Oryzias latipes: one gene and its partners. The protein of the gene in region 2 purifies or fractionates together with the protein of the main gene of each other region. This does not show direct contact. Links are inferred from orthologs where the notes say so. Each region holds a gene or a part of one and is shown on either strand. Other genes may lie near its edges.

Region 1 (4,492 bases), on a different chromosome or scaffold from region 2:
GAGTATGCCATCTCTAACGCTGAGGCTTTTGCAGAAAAGCTCTTCAAGGAACTGCAGGTCTTAGATGGGGTGAGTAATACAACCAACTATTTCAGAGCCATATTTATCATCTTTGTCAATATTCATCTTCTGTCTCTTTTAGGCCAACATTCAGTCCATCATGGCGTCAGAGAAGCAGGTGAATATCCTGATGCAGCTGCTAGATGAGGCACTTGGAGAGGTGGACACCATAGAGGGGAAACTGAGTAGCTATGAGGAAATGCTTCAGAGCGTCAAGGAGCAGATGGACCAGATCTCTCAGAGCAACCGCCTAATTCAAATCAGCAACACTAACAACGGCAAACTTCTGGATGAGATCCAGTTCTTAGTGGTAACAAATTCTTTGAATCAGTCCAGAGGTGTCAGAGAATTGAGCTTGAGTTTCTCAGATGGGCTTTGACTCACTTTTTCATGCAGAATTACATGGACTTGTCTAAGGGACACATCAGAGCTCTGCAGGATGGGGACCTCACCTCCTCTAAAGGAATTGAGGCCTGCATCAACGCCTCTGAAGCCCTTCTGCAGTGCATGAATGTTGCCCTCCGACCAGGTAAATTTACATGAAGCCTTGTTATCGTGATCGTCTGTTTTTTGTCTTCGTTTGAATGGAAAGTTGTGCACCTTTCTCTGTTCAGGCCATGAAAAGCTGTTGTCTGTGAAACAACAGCAGCAGATGTTTACCGATCTGAGGGACACATTTGCCCGCCGCCTCACCAATCACCTCAACAACGTGTTTGTCCACCAGGTAACACACTCGCCATTATTAGAACTTCTTTACCAGTACTTCTGCTGAGGTTTACAAAAAAAGGAAGAATACAGTCAGAGACATCTAAAAGCTGCTATGAGATGTGGATTTAATGTTGTATTTCCATGTAAAAAAAATTCAAGTACGAACTTTTCTTTTTAAAATAATCATGGAGGAAATACTTTTTTGATACCTTGCTGATTTTGAAGGTTTGCTTACTTAAAAATAGACAGCCTGTCATCCTAATGATAGGTTCATTTGAACAGTGAGAAATTGAAAATGTCTTTAATGAATTAATATGCATTTATTTGCATTTCACTGAGGGAAATAAGTACGGTATTTGATGCCCAAGTAACCATTAAGAGTTCTGTTTCGCACAGACCAATTAGATTCGCTTAATCAACCTGTTACCTGAATTGAAGACGCCTGTCCACAGAATCAGTCCATTAGTCAGACTCCAAACTCTCCAACATGGGAAACACTAAAGAGCTTTCAGTGGATTAAAGGGCGACGATTGTACTCTTGCACAAGACCAGAATGATTTGCAGAACCATCAGCAAGAAGCTGGGGGTTAAGGTGACAACTGCAATTGGTATAAAATACATGAACATGACCATCAATCCACCTACAGTCAGGACCATAAATATGTTGACATAGATGTGAAAAACTAAAGCATTTTCTAAACACAATCCCTTCATTTCATGGGCTGGTAAGTAATTGGACAAATTAAATAACTGAACAACAAAATGGTCATTACTCACTTCCCATGAGTCTTGGGGGCTTAAGGTGGGGCTATCCCTCAGGTCGCCACACTGTGTTGTAGATTGAGGATGTACAGTGAGGTCAATAAGTATTTGATCACCCTGTGATTTAGCAAGTTCTCCCTCTTAGAAAACATGGAGGGGTCTAAAATTTTCATCATAGGTGCATTTCCACAGTGAGAGACAGAATCTGAAGAAACATTCAGAAATCACGTTGTATGATTTTTTTTTAAACGATTTATTTGTATATTACTGTGAAAAATAAGTATTTGATCACTTGATTATCAGATAGATTTCTGATCAGCAAAGACCTGCTGTTCTGCTTTTAAATAGTCCAACTCCACTCTGCTCATGATTCTAAATTAGTGGCACCTGTTTGAGGTGGTTAGCTTGCATAAAGGCACCTGTGCCCCCCCCCACAATCAGTCAGAAGTCTAACTATCAACATGGGCAAAACCAAAGAGCTGTCATAAGACGCAAGAGATAAAATTGTAGACCTTCATAAAGCTGGAAGTGGCTACGGGGCAATTGCCAAGCAGCTTGGTGAGAAAAGAACAACTGTTGGAGCAATTGTCAGAAAATGGAAGAGGCTAATGATGACTGTCAATGTCCCTCGGACTGGGGCCCCTTGCAAGATCTCACCTTGTGGGGTATCGATGATGCTAAGGAAGGGGAAGAATCAGCCCAGGACTACACAGGAGGAGCTGGTCAATGACCTGAAGAGAGGTGGGACCACCGTTTCCAAGGCTACTATAAGTAATACATTAAAACGTCATGGTTTAAAATCATGTATCGCATGGAAGGTTCCCCTGCTGAAGTCAGCCCATGTCAAGCCCCGTCTGAAGTTTGCCAATGACCATCTTGATGATCCAGAGGAGTCATGGGAGAAAGTCTTGTGGTCAGTAAGAAGCCTTGTAAGAAGCATATCAAAATAGAACTTTTTGGTCTTAACTCCATTCGGCGTGTTTGGAGGAGAAAGGAGGAGCATCATCCCAAGAACACTATACCTACAGTGAAGCACGGGGGTGGAAGTATCATCTGCACAGGGGACAGGACGACTGCACTGTGTGAAGGAGAGGATGAACTGGGCTCTGTATTGTGAGATATTGAGAAAAAAGCTCCTTACCTCAGTCAGAGCGTTGTAGATGGGTCATGGCTGGGTCTTTCAGAATGACAATGACCCGAAGCACACAGCCAAGAAAACCAAGGAGTGGCTCCGTAAGAAGCATATTAAGGTTCTGGAGTGGCTTAGCCAGTCTCCAGACCTAAATCCAATAGAGAACCTTTGGAGGGAGCTGAAACTCCGTGTTGCTCTGCGACAGCCCCGAACCCTGACAGATCTAGAGAAGATCTGTGTGGAGGAGTGGGCCAAAATCCCTGCTGCAGTGTGTAGAAACCTAGTGAAGAACTACAGGAACCGTTTGACCTCTGTAATTGTTAACAAAGGCTTCTGTACCAAATATTAAAGTTGTTTAACCCAAGTGATCAAATACTTATTTGTCACAGTAATGTACAAATAAATTGTTTAAAAAAATTGTACAACATGATTTCTGAATGTTTTTTCAGATTCTGTCTCTCACTGTGGAAATGCACCTATGATAAAAATTTTAGACCCCTCCATGTTTTCTGGGAGAACGTGGGAGAACTTTCTAAATCACAGGGTAATCAAATACTTATTGACCTCACTGTATATGTGCTGAAACCGCGTGCATGTTTAAAAAAGAGGAGGGAGCTGCAACGGAAGGAGGGGAGAACGGGAGAGCAGCTCCTATCTCCTTCCGCGGCAGCAATATGGTAGTAAAGGGGCTGGTTAATAAAACATACCAGTAAAAGAGAGCAGTAGTGACTTTAAAGCGCCCCTATCAGCGCGGCATGCGCTAGAAGTTTCCTTCCACAACAGTGTCACACCGTTGCTCCGCGGACGCCTCTGCGCTCCGCCCTTGCCCCGCGGGCTCCTTGTCTTTCCCTTCCTATCTTCTCCGACACCCCTCGCGAGGGGGGCACCAGGGAAGAGCACTTCGTGCCCCCTGACGTCCAGTCCCTGCACGCGGGGCGCGGCTGCTGGTGGACGGAGCGAACCGTGTCTCTGAGCAGCGCAGCCGGACTTAATTTTTTGTGTTCGAGGGGCGGGGAGGATGCTTTGTTACGGGAGGGAGGCTACAGACTGCCATCTGTCCCGCAGCACTATGTGAACGAGCAGCCGAATTCAGGAGAACCACGTCTCCATCTCACACAGCGGCTTTTTGGCAGTGTGTGAGCTCTTCAAAGCAAAATGCCGCTCAGTCCTTAGAAACCGTTCAAACACGTGGATTTGTGTTTCTAGTCGTGTCCTGACAAAAGAAAGGCTTATGTTATTCCCACATATTTACGTTCAGCCAAGCTGCAGATTGTGGCATTTCCTGCATCAATTTTATGTTCATCCAGGCTAAATGTTGTTGTTAGCGCATGTTAGCCTTCACCTAACCATTCTTCCGGTTTCGTTCTGCCGCAAAAAAGCACTGACCACACGGATAAAAAATAAAATGATGAGCTAACAGGCGCTTCATAATAACCATAACAATAATATAAGCATGCGGTGGGGGGGTTCATATTACACCTGAGCCGGGGGTGTTCGTGTCCCTGGGGGGTGGGTCCTGGTCCTTGCCCCTGGGCGCTGGGCCCCGCCAAACTTCCAACATGGCCGAGCCTGGTCGGGCCATATTTATAACATCCCTTGTGGGCCGCCCTTTTTTCCCCGGGGTTCCCCCCTCCTGGGCGGGGGCGGCGGGCCCCTGCCTTGCTCCTACCTGGACCAACCGTGGGCCGGGTGGGTGGCTGCCTGGAGTGCGGAGCGGGTCTCCCTTGGGGGGTCCTGGCTCGTACCTGGGGTCGGGGCGGGGGGATGCCCGGAACTCCTGGGTGGTGGTGGGGTGCTCGTCTGGGGCTGTGGGCGTCCCTCTCCGGTGGG
Region 2 (5,173 bases):
TCATAGAAGCAGGTGAAGCAGCTCTCATCTGGATTTCAGAACTGAGAGAGAAGAAATGACCAGTCTTTTAAAACAGAACCAAGTCCAGCTGACTGACATTTATGTGGTCCTGTTCATTCAGAATGTGTTCGGCTTCATGGTGTTTGGGTTTGAGGACGTGTAAAATCTCAGAAAACAAACAAACAAAATGGGAAAAAACGTATCAAGGAGAACAAAAGGTAAGAATGTAGCAGGAGCTGGGGCTTCCTGAAGGTGAATCTGATCCCTAAAACCACTGTTGTGTTTGCCCTGTTTGTGCTTTGAATGATGTAATAGGGGAAATCATAGCAGAGGCTTCATTTTCTATTGCCGCCTCCACACGGCCCACCCCATTTGCAGAACAATAGCAGGAAACTGAAAGTGATTGTGTCAGGCGGCCTCTTCCCCTGCTCAACTTCAGGAACGTCTGCATCAGCCGTTCTTCATCCACTGTTCTTAACACAGCACGGTCTTCACCTGGGACTTCATTACCAATGGAGTACTTCACCGCATGATAGATGAAAACAGCTTTTCAGCTTTTTGACTAAACAGACCGACATGTTTTTGCGAGGTTTGTGTTTAGGTTGACACAAAGTGTTCAGCAGGTTAATTCAGAACTGAATGCGTTTGATCATGTTTGACATAAAGAGGAGCAGCCCTTCAACCATTGACTGTATGTGAGAACTGGACTGAGTAATCATGTAAATGATAATCCAACTTTTCTTCCTATTTTTTTGACACATTTAGAGTTATTCAAGTTATAAACTGACCAATCAGATGCCTCAATAAAAGTCGGTGGTGCCTGCTGGCTCCCATGAACATTTGATTGACAGATTTCGTGTCGCCCTCTTTAAAGACCCACTCCAATGAAAATTGTGTTTTTGGTGTTTTAACGTGTTGCAGCATTTTTCTCACCATGGAGGACAAATACAAAAATTTGTTGACATTTGAAGAAGATTAAGACTGTGTTTCTGAGTATTGATCAAAGTCGTGATGGATTCCGAGCAGATAAAAACCTGGTGTTCGAAAAACGCTACAATTTACAATAAGTAAAATGGGTGAACCACAGTCTTCCTGCTCTGCTCCAATCTGATCATCCACTGTCAGACAAATAGATCCATGAACGTCTTTGTTTTCCCGGTCTGAGCTGGAATCTGGATCAGAACCGGGCGGATGGATAGATCTGATATTGCTGCCATTTTTGTTGCACCACTAATGTTAACTTGAGGGTGTGAGTGGCTGTAAGCTAGCAGGGGAGCATGTAAACAAAGGAATGATGGGATATCAGCTGTTCTTGCCCACAACTCAGAGGTGAATTTCTGATGAACTCCTGCCGCTCTACAGAAACTATGTCCTAGAAAACAACACAGGCTTTTGAATTTTGTCTAAAAGCGACATCATCTTATCTAAAAGACCACTGGGAACGCTTTTACAGTAGAGGAAAGATGATTATGGGACTTTAAAGTGGCAGGGATGTGGACGTCTAACAAGCTCACTCCTGATTGGCCAGAGTGGTTTCCATAGAAACGTTGACTCCGACCGTCTCAACTACATCTGGCTACGAAGTGGCAGCGTCTATATCATGAAACAATGGCGACTGAATTGACTTTGTTTTTGTTTTGGACAAACATCAAGTATGGTCTCTTCAAGTTGCTGTTGTGGATGTGCAACTAATGCACTTGATGCATTAGTTGCTGGGAGAGAAACCTAAAAGAAACCTCATCTGCACAGTCAGAGAGTTTTCTTGGTCCCTCCTGCATCTGCAGCCCGAGGACACAACGGCTGACTTTTATTGTGCTGGTTTCCAAAGTCCAGAGAATCACAAGATCTCTTTCCTGTTGCACCCTCTTTTTCTGCTGACCATAGCAGGTGGCCTGGAATTCACCTCCCAACCACACACACACACACACACACACACACACGGACCACAACGGGTCACATGCCGTCCTCATCACTTCAGTTGTGGTGAAGATGGACACCGACAGGCTCCACGCTGCTTTACCTGAGCCTCCAAGCCAAAATGAAGAAGACAATAAAGGTGAAGAGAAGATCTTCGGGAATATCTTTGCTGAGCTGGAGTCGGTGGACTTGCCTTTGGGAACCACTTTAAGGTGCTGACTTCAGAGATACTGCATGTCTGAATGCACGAAAGCAGCGGCTGATCCTGTGTTAATATCACAGAGAATTTTCGTCATGCGTGGAAATCTGTGAACTTACAAGGATAAATAACTTTTGTTTTGTAAGAGGCAAAATTAGCATTTTTTGTGCACCAATTAGTATTTCCTTGTCACATTTTTTAAGGCAAGGCAAGGCAAGTTTATTTGTATAGCACAATTCGTACACAAAGTAATTCAAAGTGCTTCACAAAACAGAAAAATGCATTAAAATCACAATACATCATAGAAATAATCAACATAAAATTTACTTTAAAAGAAAAGGAAGAAAAAAAAAAAGATTTAAAAAGAAAGGAAGGAAAGAAAGGTAGATAGGACCTTAAGCATTTTGTGTGCACAGTTTAGCCTTTTGTGTGCACAACTTAGCATTTCCAAAGGCACAATTTCATATTTTGTGTGCAAAAATGAGATTTTATACAAAAATGAGTATTATGTCGTCACATTTGTTTTAGCATTATGTGTGCACAAATTTGTATTTGTTGGCACGAATTAGTAGGAATTGATTGTGCAGAAATTAGTCATTTGTGCCCACAAAATACTAAATTGTATCAACAAAATGTTAATTTGTGCATACGAAATGATAATTAGTGTCAACATAATACAAATTGGTGCCTGCAAAATGTCTATTTGCAGCCACAAAATACTAATTTGTGACTAAAAAATGCAAAGTTGTGGGCCACAAATAATTAACTTCTTTTTTCTTCCTTCCAATTTTTGGAATGCCATGTCCAGGGCTCTGCACATTATTGTTAATATAAAGAAACTACAAGGCAGCATTAATTTGTAAAAGTAAGGTTAGTCTTGCAGACTACATGGAAGTCTGCTCAATGTTAGCAAATTTTATTTTTTAATACCTTTATCAATTAAAAAATTAACAAAGGCAGATAGACACTAATAACCGACATGATCAATGAGGAAACTCTTTTCAGAAAATTGTTCACATCATTTAATGACCCACACTAACAACTTAGGACAGTGGTCGCTGTATGAGCCGCGCAGGCGGCTGCGACCATCTGCTCTGCGCAGGTGCAGCTCTCCGGCGGCTGCACCTGCGCAGAGCAGCGGCCGCGCTGACCTCCGCTCTCCACAACAATCATGGCGGAGGCTGACATCCCGGAGTGTATAACGGAGCACGAGCGGATCTTACAGGAAATCGAGAGCACAGACACGGCCTGCGTGGGGCCCACTCTTCGGTAAGGATGATGCTCTGCTCCGTGAACCCGAGTCCCTGAAAACGACTGCATTTCGTCGCAGTTCGTTTATTTCCGCTGTAAACAGCAGAGCAGCCCGCGTCGGCTAACGCTAGCAGAGGTGGCTAGCATGTCAGCTGCAGGCTGATGCTAGCAGCAGCTAGCTGCGACTCGGCTTCTTTCATGGTCCAAACCTCCGCAGCAGAAGCATTCTCAGGGTTCTGTCTGCTTCCGGTCCTTTTAGGACAGGAGCGGCTGCGGATCCTCCCCGTTCGGCGCTTCTGCTGTCGGCGGCTAACGGCTAACTCAGCATTTCAGTGAACGAACCGAGCCCCCTGACCCCCCCGCCGCTCTAGTTCTGATGTTTTTGGTTATGTGGGGGAGGCAGGGGGGCACAGCTGACTGGCGTGGGTGTGTGTGTGTGTGGGGGGGGGGCTGGTCCGGCCACGGGAGGGGCCTGCATGAATGGCAGCAGCTGTCAATCACCCTGGCCTTTAAACGTAGCTTCAGGCGCTGGTTTCTGTCGGAGGACGTGAAGCATCCGAGCTGCGTTTGTTCGTTACTCCTCTTATTCCAGTTACTCCACACTGAGAGAGTTCAGCTCAGGTGTTTTTAGGTGGCGACAGGTGTAGCCTTCAAGTCCCACCCACCCGCAGTCATCCTTTGATCTATTTCCAGGTGTTCCAGCGGTCTTTTCATGAGGATGATGCTGTTTTTAGCCGAAATCTAGGACCTAGTTTCTGCAGAGCGGCAGGAGCTCTTTAGAAATTCACCTCTGAGTTGTGGGCGGGTCTGTTGGCGCAAAACAGCCCCGCCCCCTTCCGCTCCCTGTTGGGAGGGGAGGAGGGAGCGTTTTATGTCTACGTCACAACTACAGGTTTTCTGCTCCCGATTTGCAGCTATTTGAACAAAGAATACATAAAGGTTGAGCTGAATTTCGACTTGACTTATTGATTTATTTCAAGCAAAAATAGTAGAGTATAATAGAAAAAAATCACCGATTTATCAAGCTCATCTTTAGAAATAAAGAGCTGCATGGATTAATAAAACAAAGAAAAATGAGTCTGAATGAGAATCCTAAAAAAATAAACGCCACAATGTCATATTAAAAGCAGCAAAAGCACCATTGTCATTGGAGTGGGTCTGTAACAATCAAGGTCATGTTTGAAAAACGAACAAATTGTCAATTGAGTCATGAAAAAGATTTGTTTAGAAAAATCTTCTTCCAATTGTGATGTTATAGCAGATTTTCAATCATCCACATCAATTCTACATTTATTATAACTAGGCGCGGAATGGTTTTTGCGTTTTCCAATCCGACATCCCCCTAACACAAAATCCTACATGTAGACGGGAACTTGAAGATTGCTTTATCGTCAAACTAAACCTTTTGAAGGTTTTGAGCTTCCTGTCTAATTGCTGGAGCCTCAGGTAAAGAAAGCACCTCCATGCTGTGGTCAACATCATCAATTTCTTCCTAATAATGAAAGGTTCTTGAGAAAAACACAGTCTAGAAGGCTTTCAATTTAATTTCTGAATTTAGAACAATTATAATCAGCGCAAAGCAAAGCAGGCTGTTGAGGACTCCCCTTCATGTTAGTGGGAGATGTCTCCTTTAAAAGGAGGTTCCTCGCCGGGACGTTTGGGAAAGTTGTTTTCTTGACCTTCAACGTCGGATCGTGCTGTTCAGTCGACACCAGAATCTCTGGTGGCTTCAAACTTTTCAGTCGGGGGACAGTTCAGCTGCTTTAATCTGTGGTTTCAGATGAAACTGCTGGTCTTCTGTAAACC
Region 3 (3,267 bases), on a different chromosome or scaffold from region 2:
AAACGGGGGAGGAGTCATATGGAAGAAGAGGGCGTGGTCAGCAAGCATCAGAGAGCGGGGGCAGAGGAGCAGCAGTTTGGAAGATCAAACACTCAAAGTGAAGAGGTGAATGTGGGCAGAGGAGGAGACAGCAGACCAGGTCCTGCAGGAGGAGGCCAAGGACGCTGGTGGTCAGCTTCCTGACAGCCTGCTGGGCCTGATCCGGGATCAGGAGAACCTGTTTACTAGTCTGAGCTGGGGCCAAAGCAGCAGCGACGCTCTGAGGAAGACCTGTCGCTAATCAGACCGGACTCTGGCCCCTGGACTGGGATCTGCTTGGTCTCAGATCTTTGTCTAAACTCAGAGCTGGTTCCTGTTCTGGCCTCTGGTCTGAGATCTGGTCCCTGGACTCAAAACGGGTCCCTGGTCTCAGGTCTCTCACCTTGACCGAGCAAACGGCCGTTGGCGTCAGAAACCAGATCTGAGATCGGTTCTGGTCTCTGCCGCGGTTCTCGTCCTCCGCCCGCAAAATTAGCTTAGCACAGCTCAGCACGAGTTAGCATGAAACGCTGTCAAAAGTCCATACCCGGTCTGTCAGCGGCGAAAGGCGATGCTGATGTGACGGACGGTTAATGTTTGGGTCCGAACTGCTACTAAAGCCGAACTGGGTCAGTCATGTCCACAAATCTGCAGACGATCCAAATAAAACACGGCGTCCAGGGCTCCCTTGTTCTTCTTCTTCTCTGCAGTCACGTCCGCGCTGGGCTCTGCTGCCCCCTACCGGAGACTCGGTGACACACCACCTTTAAACAGCGACATTTCTGCTTAAAAACAGCGGGTTGTCGGTAATAAACAACTTAGTCATAGAAACTCAATTTTCAATCTAATTTTTATTTTGCAATCAAACATCCCAAGTATTTTACATTGTTTTTAAATTACCACCCAACTCATTAATTCAAGTGATTTCAAAGTCAGTAACCGTATTAAGTTACTTAAGTCTAAGAAAGTGACAAATGTTTATGCAATGACATGTCGTTTTGTGAAACCCAAACTGACAAAGCAAAAATATAACTAGACATTAACATTTTTGGATATTTAAACTTCAAAAGAAAAGAGGCACACATTTATTTTCAGTTTTTTAAAAATCTTACAAATATGTGACACTGTATTTGATAAAATAATTATATTTTTAAGTCAAAAATTAAGCCACGCGTGTAGTTTTTTTTTTGGGTGCATGTTGCATCTTGAGGATACAGTCCCAGCCTGTGGAGTTTTTAGGTCCTGACATCTGTTTGTAGTGACAATATCCCATCTCCACTGATGCCCCCCTTATCATCATGCTGCCCCCACCAATCCAGGTTTTTCTGTTTGTCCAGTGGTCATCATGCATCTACACTGCATCTTCCTTTGAACTGAAAATGTTTCAATCCCTCATCAGCGGAAGATTAGTGTAAACATTCCCCGTTTCTTCATAACGAACATTGAAATTAATAAAAAATGGCGGTCAAAAACCCTGTGATGGACTTTACCGGATCAAACCAAACATTCAAAAACTGAAAGAGTCAAGCTGCTGTAGACTGAACCGGAGCTTAGGCAATGGTGCCTCAGATGGGGGCTTGCTTCAGTCACTTCACCATGAGAAAATGACATTGGGCATGGTCACAAGCAGGACCGAACCTTTGAAACGTCCTACCTGCAGCTCAGTCATCTGAAACCTGAAACCCTGCAGTTATGTTTACAGCTCTGGGTTTATAGATGCTGAAGCACAAATGAGAAGAAAAACCTGAAATCAAATGTGGAGGGAGAAGATTCAAGAGGTGGTTCCCGCTTTATTTGAGCAGCTTTGAAGTTGCCATGGAGGTCATGGAGGTCATGGACATGGTGGGGACAGGAATGTCTCTGAAGATGGGCTGCGAAGCGGCAGAGCTGGCCACCTTGTTCTCGCTCAGAGTCCCGATGATCATCTGCCGCATCTCTCTGCTGGCGTCGCCTCGAACGGTGAGCAGCGCCTGGATGTGGTCCTCCCTGCAGCAGAGGGGACAGAAGAAGAAGAAGAAGAGCTGCCTCACCTGCCCAACACAACTGCTGCAGGTGGCGCACACACACAGGCTTCATTTCTGAATGATCAACTCAGACTGACCAAATTCAACTGAAATGAACCCTTAAAGCTGGAGGAATGTCATGTTTGGAGACAATTTGTGTGCATATGTATTTATATTGAAAATTTCCACTGATCTATAGTCAAACTTGACATAATGGTCATTTTTGCTCTCAATAACTGCATCATTGTCACACTGTGCCTTCAGGAGTGATGCCTCTGCTGTGTCACACCTCACCTGATATCGGGGTATTTGGACACCAGCGTGGTGACTTCCAGGAACAGGAGCGTGGGATCGGTCAGCTTAAACACCTCAGCGATGGCGGTGATGGCGCCGCACAGACGCTCTGTGTCTTCGCCCTGCAGCAGGCAGAAGTTGACCAACTGTGCAGCGCTCTGGGGGGTGGGGGGGTGGGGGTTTGGTGGCTCCTAAGTGCGACCGGTGCAGTGAAAGAGAGAAACTCACCGCCGCCAGCTTCCTGAAGAGGAAACTGAACTGGTCGGCTTCCCTGATCATCCTCTCTGCGCCCTCCCTCCTCTCATCAGCGTTTTTGAAGCTCATCCTCTTCTGCATCACTGCTTTGATGTACTCCACCACCACCCTCCGCAGCGCCTCCTTCGTCATCTCCTGCAGAAAAACGCAGGCGGCAGCCATGCTAACAGTCTCCTGCAGGAGGGGGGTCTGCGTTTTTAAAACCCGGTCTCACTGTACCTGGTTGAAGGGCTTTTTGATTTTATTGAAGTCGTTGAAATAGTCCTCCACCGTCACACAGATGGTGTCCACAGCATGAGAGCCGCTCAGCCACTTCCGGGTCAGGAGCTCGTTCAGGTGATGCTGTTCAACAGAACCGGAACAGTTTAGTGGACCGGGACTGCTCTGACCACATAGGTCTCAGGCGTTTCTCTGCCCCGTAGCCCTCATACTTCTAACGTTTGACATGTCCGAGTAAACAAAGAGAGTTTTGGGAGGAAAGAAGTGAAGAGGAACAAAGAGGGATGAAGGCTAGGACTGCTGAATCCTGGTCCTCCAGATCCACTTCTGTTACCCAGCCCTCCCTGCACAGCCTGCAGCTAACTATCTGGATCAAGTGTGTTCAGCAGAAATGGAGATGATGAAGTTCTCTTAAGCACAAATGAGGACGGAGAAAATAAGAGCATCAGGAGAACAAGATGATTGGATGTGAAACCAG
Region 4 (5,015 bases), on a different chromosome or scaffold from region 2:
CCCTGTGGTAGAAAAATAGGCAAACCTGTGTGGGGCTGTACAGCCAAGTGCTCTTGCACATTTTGTCTTTGGGAATGCTGCAGGCAACAGGTGGTAATGAATACTTATACAACATAAGGGAAAGGAAGGGTGAAGTAGGTGAGACGCAGCCATGTTCTACGTATTTTATAGTTTTCTTTACCCCCCCAAATCCTGCGCACGGTGCTGTTCAAGTGATAAGTGCGCACTCCTTCTGTGTAGCCTGACTGTTATGCTAACTCCACACTGGGCATGCATGGCGCTGAACGCGGGTTCTTGAACGCACTTTCAGCATACGTGCTCATACTGGACTGTCGCTACCCGATAGTAGCGCACAGTTATAAGATGCTTCCTGCGAAATGTTGAAGCGGTGCCAATCTTGCTCCAGGCTTTTTCTTTCACAGCTCTATTTTGATAAAGGAAGGCCTTGGTGTCATAGAATTTTGGCCGGGCACAAACCGCAATTAGTATTTCACCTCCAAGATTCAGTGTTTTGAAAAGGATGCTACTCATACCTCACTACCAAATCAGAGTCCTTGATTGGTCAAAGTACAACTAGTTAAACTTTCAGCACACGTTCGATTGCGTGTTTTGTACGTAGAGCCTGAAAACTGACCTAAAAACCTGCGTAGAGACGCGTCAACGAGAGAGCTTTGAACGCGGAGGCCCAAAACGGGCTTTTACGTGAGCACTTACATAGAATTTTCATTGAAAGTGGTCACTCAAACACGCATTTCCAAGCCTGGTGTTAACGTAGCATTAGAAATTTGATGATAATGGTGTAGTTTGTGTGAGTGTCCTGTCCTACGGACACTTACATGTCAGCATTTGCTTGGAGTCAGTAAGGAACCAGTACTCACTCATTAACCCTTGTGCTGTCTTAGATGACCCCACCCTTACATTGACATGTTCTCCCTACCATGACAAAGGTGGATAAAGGTGGAAAGATTTCATGTAATCCATGGACACCAGTGAAGATCACAAATCATTGAAGAAAAAAGGTTCAGCGAACTGTCTAGTGGGTCTAGATGACCCAACTCCCAATGTTAAAGTGCCTTGGATAGCACAAGGGTTAATAACGACTACAGTGTGGCAGTTTGGGCGGTGTTCGGCAACATCACCCGTATGTTATCAGTGCGTGTAACTTATGTTAGCCTTACAAATACTTCACAATATGCTTACCATACACAATGGTAGGTTCCATTTTCAAGGGAACTGCAAGACACACCTGTGCTCCTGTTAAGATGCGCCTTAAACTGGCCGGTCTACTTTCTACTCCCCTCCACAGACCTGGACAACCCAAAAACCCAGGGCACCTGTACAGGTCAGCCCCCGTACAGGTCCATGTGGCTAAAGCTTTAGTGACTCTGAATTGACCTTTAGGTGTGAATGTGTGAACTTGTTTGTCTCTGTGTGGCCCTGTGATGGAAGGCGAACTGTCCAGGGCGAACCCCGCCTTCACTGAAGAGTTGTTGGTTTAGCTCCAGTGACCCCATTACCCCAAACAGGAGTAAAGCAGGATTACACTGGTTGGTCCCTTAAAATGTTGACCTTCAAAACCTAAAATTAAATTAAAAGAAACTTTTTTTCAACATCACTTCCCCGCCTGACAGATCCAGAAGAGTGGGCTTTGAACACTTTTTTTTTTTTTTGCAAAACAAACGACATTGATGCTCCTAAATAAAAGTTTGAATTAAAAATGTTGCCTTTTTTTTGGCTTTAACGGACTAAAGAAAATGTTTTGGAAGTTAGTCAAACATCATCTCTTCTCTGTTTCTCTGGAAATTAAGAAAAGAACCAAACCAGGACCTAGTCTGATGAGCTGGGACACGGCACGTCGGGTCGCTTTAGGTCCACCACGGAGTGACCGATCCGGAGACAGCTCGAACACCAGCACCTCAGTCAGCTGTCGCACCCGCTCGTCCACCTTGGACCTCAACTCCTTGACCTTCTGAGTGGAGGGCTGGTCCTTCAGGTACTCGTTCAGTTTGTCCAGCAGGTCCACGGCTCCCTCAAAGTCCCTCTGGGCAATGCACACGTCCAGGTCCTCGGGGAGCTCCTGAATCCACTCGATACCAAGTTCTGCGCTTTCCTCTGCATCTGCTGGGTCCTCGTCCTCCAGGTCGAAAGGGTTGGTGGACACCTCAGATCTGATGGGGGACGTGGGAGCCTCCTCTTCCTTCTTGTGTCTGTCCTTAGACACCTTGTTCTTTTTGGTTTCATCAAGGATCTCCAGCCACTCCTTCTTGACCTTGCTGTTCTCTGCCTGGAAGATGCGGCTGTCCGGGAACATGAGGATCTTGAACATGTCCTTCATGGGGGGATTGTCCTTGACGTTGACCACGGCGAAGCTCTCCAGGTCGTACAGGTCGCTGTATTTGTACTTCACGGTGCCTCTGCGGTTGGGCAGCCAGGTGGCGATCAGCAGACAGTCGTTCATGAGGAAAGCATGGACCTTCTGGATGGGGGACATGTTGTCCACGTCAAACTCAAAAAGGTCTCCGTTGTAGACTAGGTGCCTCCCCGGGATGTCCATGATGTTCTTGGCTCCTTCGACTTTCTCCAGCAGAGAGGTGAGCGCCCTCTGCTTCACCTCCTCCGTCTCTTTGGGGAAAGCAGCCTGCATCTCCTTGGAGGTCTCATCCTTGTCTGTGGACAGCAAGGCCTGGGTGATGCTCTCCATGATGCTCTTCTGCTCCGTCAGGATGTGGCTCAGCTGGTACATCTCGCTCTCCAGGTAGGAAATCTCTTTGGCGGTTTCAATGAACTGCCTGTAGTTCTTATAGACATTTTTCTTCAAATTCTGGGCCGTTTCGTCGGCCAGGTTTTGGATTTTTTGCCGATGCTCCTGCAGATCCCTGTCGCCGTCGGACTGCTGTGACAGCTGTTTGACGTACGTTTGCGGATCGAAATTGGGAGATTCGAGAAGTTTCCGCAGCCGGTTCCCTGTTTCCGACATCTTTAGCTGTGTTTGCAATTATTTACGAACGCGAAATATTAGTAAAATGGCTATGAAATGTACGAACAAGACGAGTGCATCGAAGCTCCTTTTACATCCGCTTTCACTCCAACAGGAAGCTGTAAGCAGCAACACCCGAACGTCACGTGATCAGAAAAAGTTTAAAAATAAAATCGTAAAAAAATTATTTGATTATCTTTAGGCATAAGATAATATAAATTTTTGATTATGATTCGTAAACTTTATTCAATTGTAACAATTGAATAATTTAATTTAAATATCAGATATATGTTTACTAAAGTTCCCAGAACCCATCGCTAATATTTGTGCTAGCGATGCTTGCAATCTTTACCGGAAGTGGTAACCAAAGCATACAAAATAATTACATTGAATTATAAAAAAAAGATCACCGTCAAAGCTACCCAAATTAAACTATTGAATTTTTCTTTTTACTATATATATTGATATACTGAGCATAAAAAAGTGCCCATGTTATATATATATCACAGTGTTTTAGTTTAGACAATTAATTTTAAAACATATCATTATAATAGACAAAAATGATTAAGTAACCATATTTGGGACCAAAACGCCTTTAATAACTCATTTTTTTAATTTGAAAAACAATCACGTACGGGACTTCGCGGAACTTGACAGCAGGTTAGACCAAAAGACAGAGTAAAATTGCATTGATGCAAAAACAATTTCCTTAAAAGCTACGCGGCTTTCAATTTCAATTAATAATATACTAAGAAAACACATACGTGCCTACGTTTAGATATTCAAAATACTTTGAACAAAAACTTTAATATGTTTTATTGTGAAAAAAATAAAATAAAACATTACCGGAAGGTTTGTGGAAGATGACAGGAAGTTGTTGGCTCCAGCTTCTTACTCTTTTTTATTAAATTGTTTCCGTTTTTATGTTTAAGCGTCCGTTTTGCGAAAAAATGATGACATAAATTCGTTTTTTTCTTTATGAGTTTACACTGCTAAATGTAGTACAACTGGCGCACTGATTGGTTTTTAGAAGTTCGGGTTAGCCAAAGCTAAATGGCAAAATAGCAGCAGTGATGGACGAGGACTTTCTGCTCGCCGTTCAGCTACAGGAGCAGTTTGACCATGAATATGAATCTTCACTGGTTTCATCTCTAAGTTTTAACGAAGGGGAGTTCGGAAACAACAGCAAAAAGCGGAAAGTGGAGCTTGCCGGTGGGGCCAGGGATAGAAAGCCAACTTCCGGCGTTGAGCGGCCGCTAAGCATCGTGGATGATTCCTGGGAGATGCTGGATCCCAGCCCTGATGTTAGAGCCATGTTTTTGGAGTTCAATGACATGTTCTTCTGGGGCAAACTCAGCGGAGTGGAGGTCAAGTGGAGTCCCAGGATGACCCTGTGAGTCTATTCTGACTTTGGACATTTGGTTTAAGCTGTTTCGGAGCCTAAACTGACCTCACCGATTTAGATCAAAACTAAAACACAATGGATTTTTAATGGAAACGTTGAAACAGGGAAATAAAAGCTTTAGAGAAAGCAAAAAATTTTTTTTTCTCAAATAAAGTGGACAGATTTTGAAGAAAAAGCTCAATAAGTCAAAGTCAGCTTTATTGTCAAGTATGCAGCATACATACAGATTAACAGCACAGATTAAATTACTTTCCTCTCGCCCCACAGTGCAAGCAGCTTATAAAATAATAAAATAAAATAGAATAAATGCAAATAGATACATAAATTTAAGGTTATATTGAAGATTTTGGGTGTAAGTAATGTCATTGGATCAGTGATGGCAATTATGTCTAAAAAAATGCTTCTACTCTCTTTGGTTTCCTCTTGCAGGTGTGCTGGCGTTTGCTCCTATGAAGGTCGAGGTGGACTGTGTTCCATCAGACTCAGTGAACCTCTGCTGAAGCTCAGACCCAGGAAAGACCTAGTGGAGGTGGATGGGATTTTACAATATGTTTTTACTAATAAATCAGTCATTTTTTAAAGATCCAAGTTAGAACAGTGCTTGTCGCAGAGAGCTGCTCCGAAGTTGCCTCT

What was found.
Region 1: the proteins of exoc6 (region 2) and exoc1 purify together in Homo sapiens (affinity purification with mass spectrometry; 4 studies listed by BioGRID and IntAct, counting the BioPlex papers as one, with this or other methods). This does not show direct contact. The link is inferred for Oryzias latipes from reciprocal best matches to the Homo sapiens genes EXOC6 and EXOC1.
Region 3: the proteins of exoc6 (region 2) and exoc3 purify together in Homo sapiens (affinity purification with mass spectrometry; 6 studies listed by BioGRID and IntAct, counting the BioPlex papers as one, with this or other methods). This does not show direct contact. The link is inferred for Oryzias latipes from reciprocal best matches to the Homo sapiens genes EXOC6 and EXOC3.
Region 4: the proteins of exoc6 (region 2) and exoc8 purify together in Homo sapiens (affinity purification with mass spectrometry; 4 studies listed by BioGRID and IntAct, counting the BioPlex papers as one, with this or other methods). This does not show direct contact. The link is inferred for Oryzias latipes from reciprocal best matches to the Homo sapiens genes EXOC6 and EXOC8.

What each region holds. Positions count from the first base shown.
Region 1 is NC_019862.2:97,722-102,213, reverse strand, and holds part of exoc1 (exocyst complex component 1), read left to right. Parts: coding exon 1-69; intron 70-142; coding exon 143-370; intron 371-456; coding exon 457-589; intron 590-674; coding exon 675-784; intron 785-4,492.
Region 2 is NC_019877.2:23,115,084-23,120,256, forward strand, and holds the start of exoc6 (exocyst complex component 6), read left to right. Parts: upstream 1-1,927; 5' UTR 1,928-1,989; coding exon 1,990-2,129; exon of another isoform or gene 2,130-2,182; intron 2,183-3,262; exon of another isoform or gene 3,263-3,287; coding exon of another isoform or gene 3,288-3,385; exon of another isoform or gene 3,386-3,806; intron 3,807-5,173. UniProt on the Homo sapiens protein: Component of the exocyst complex involved in the docking of exocytic vesicles with fusion sites on the plasma membrane.
Region 3 is NC_019875.2:5,014,566-5,017,832, reverse strand, and holds the end of exoc3 (exocyst complex component 3), read right to left. Parts: intron 2,913-3,267; coding exon 2,790-2,912; intron 2,706-2,789; coding exon 2,544-2,705; intron 2,438-2,543; coding exon 2,316-2,437; intron 2,005-2,315; coding exon 1,809-2,004; 3' UTR 851-1,808; downstream 1-850. UniProt on the Homo sapiens protein: Component of the exocyst complex involved in the docking of exocytic vesicles with fusion sites on the plasma membrane.
Region 4 is NC_019882.2:17,525,286-17,530,300, forward strand, and holds the start of exoc8 (exocyst complex component 8), read right to left. Parts: upstream 3,105-5,015; 5' UTR 2,978-3,104; coding exon 1,828-2,977; intron 1-1,827. Other genes in the region: sprtn (sprT-like domain-containing protein Spartan), read left to right, coding at 4,051-4,370, 4,812-4,911. UniProt on the Homo sapiens protein: Component of the exocyst complex involved in the docking of exocytic vesicles with fusion sites on the plasma membrane.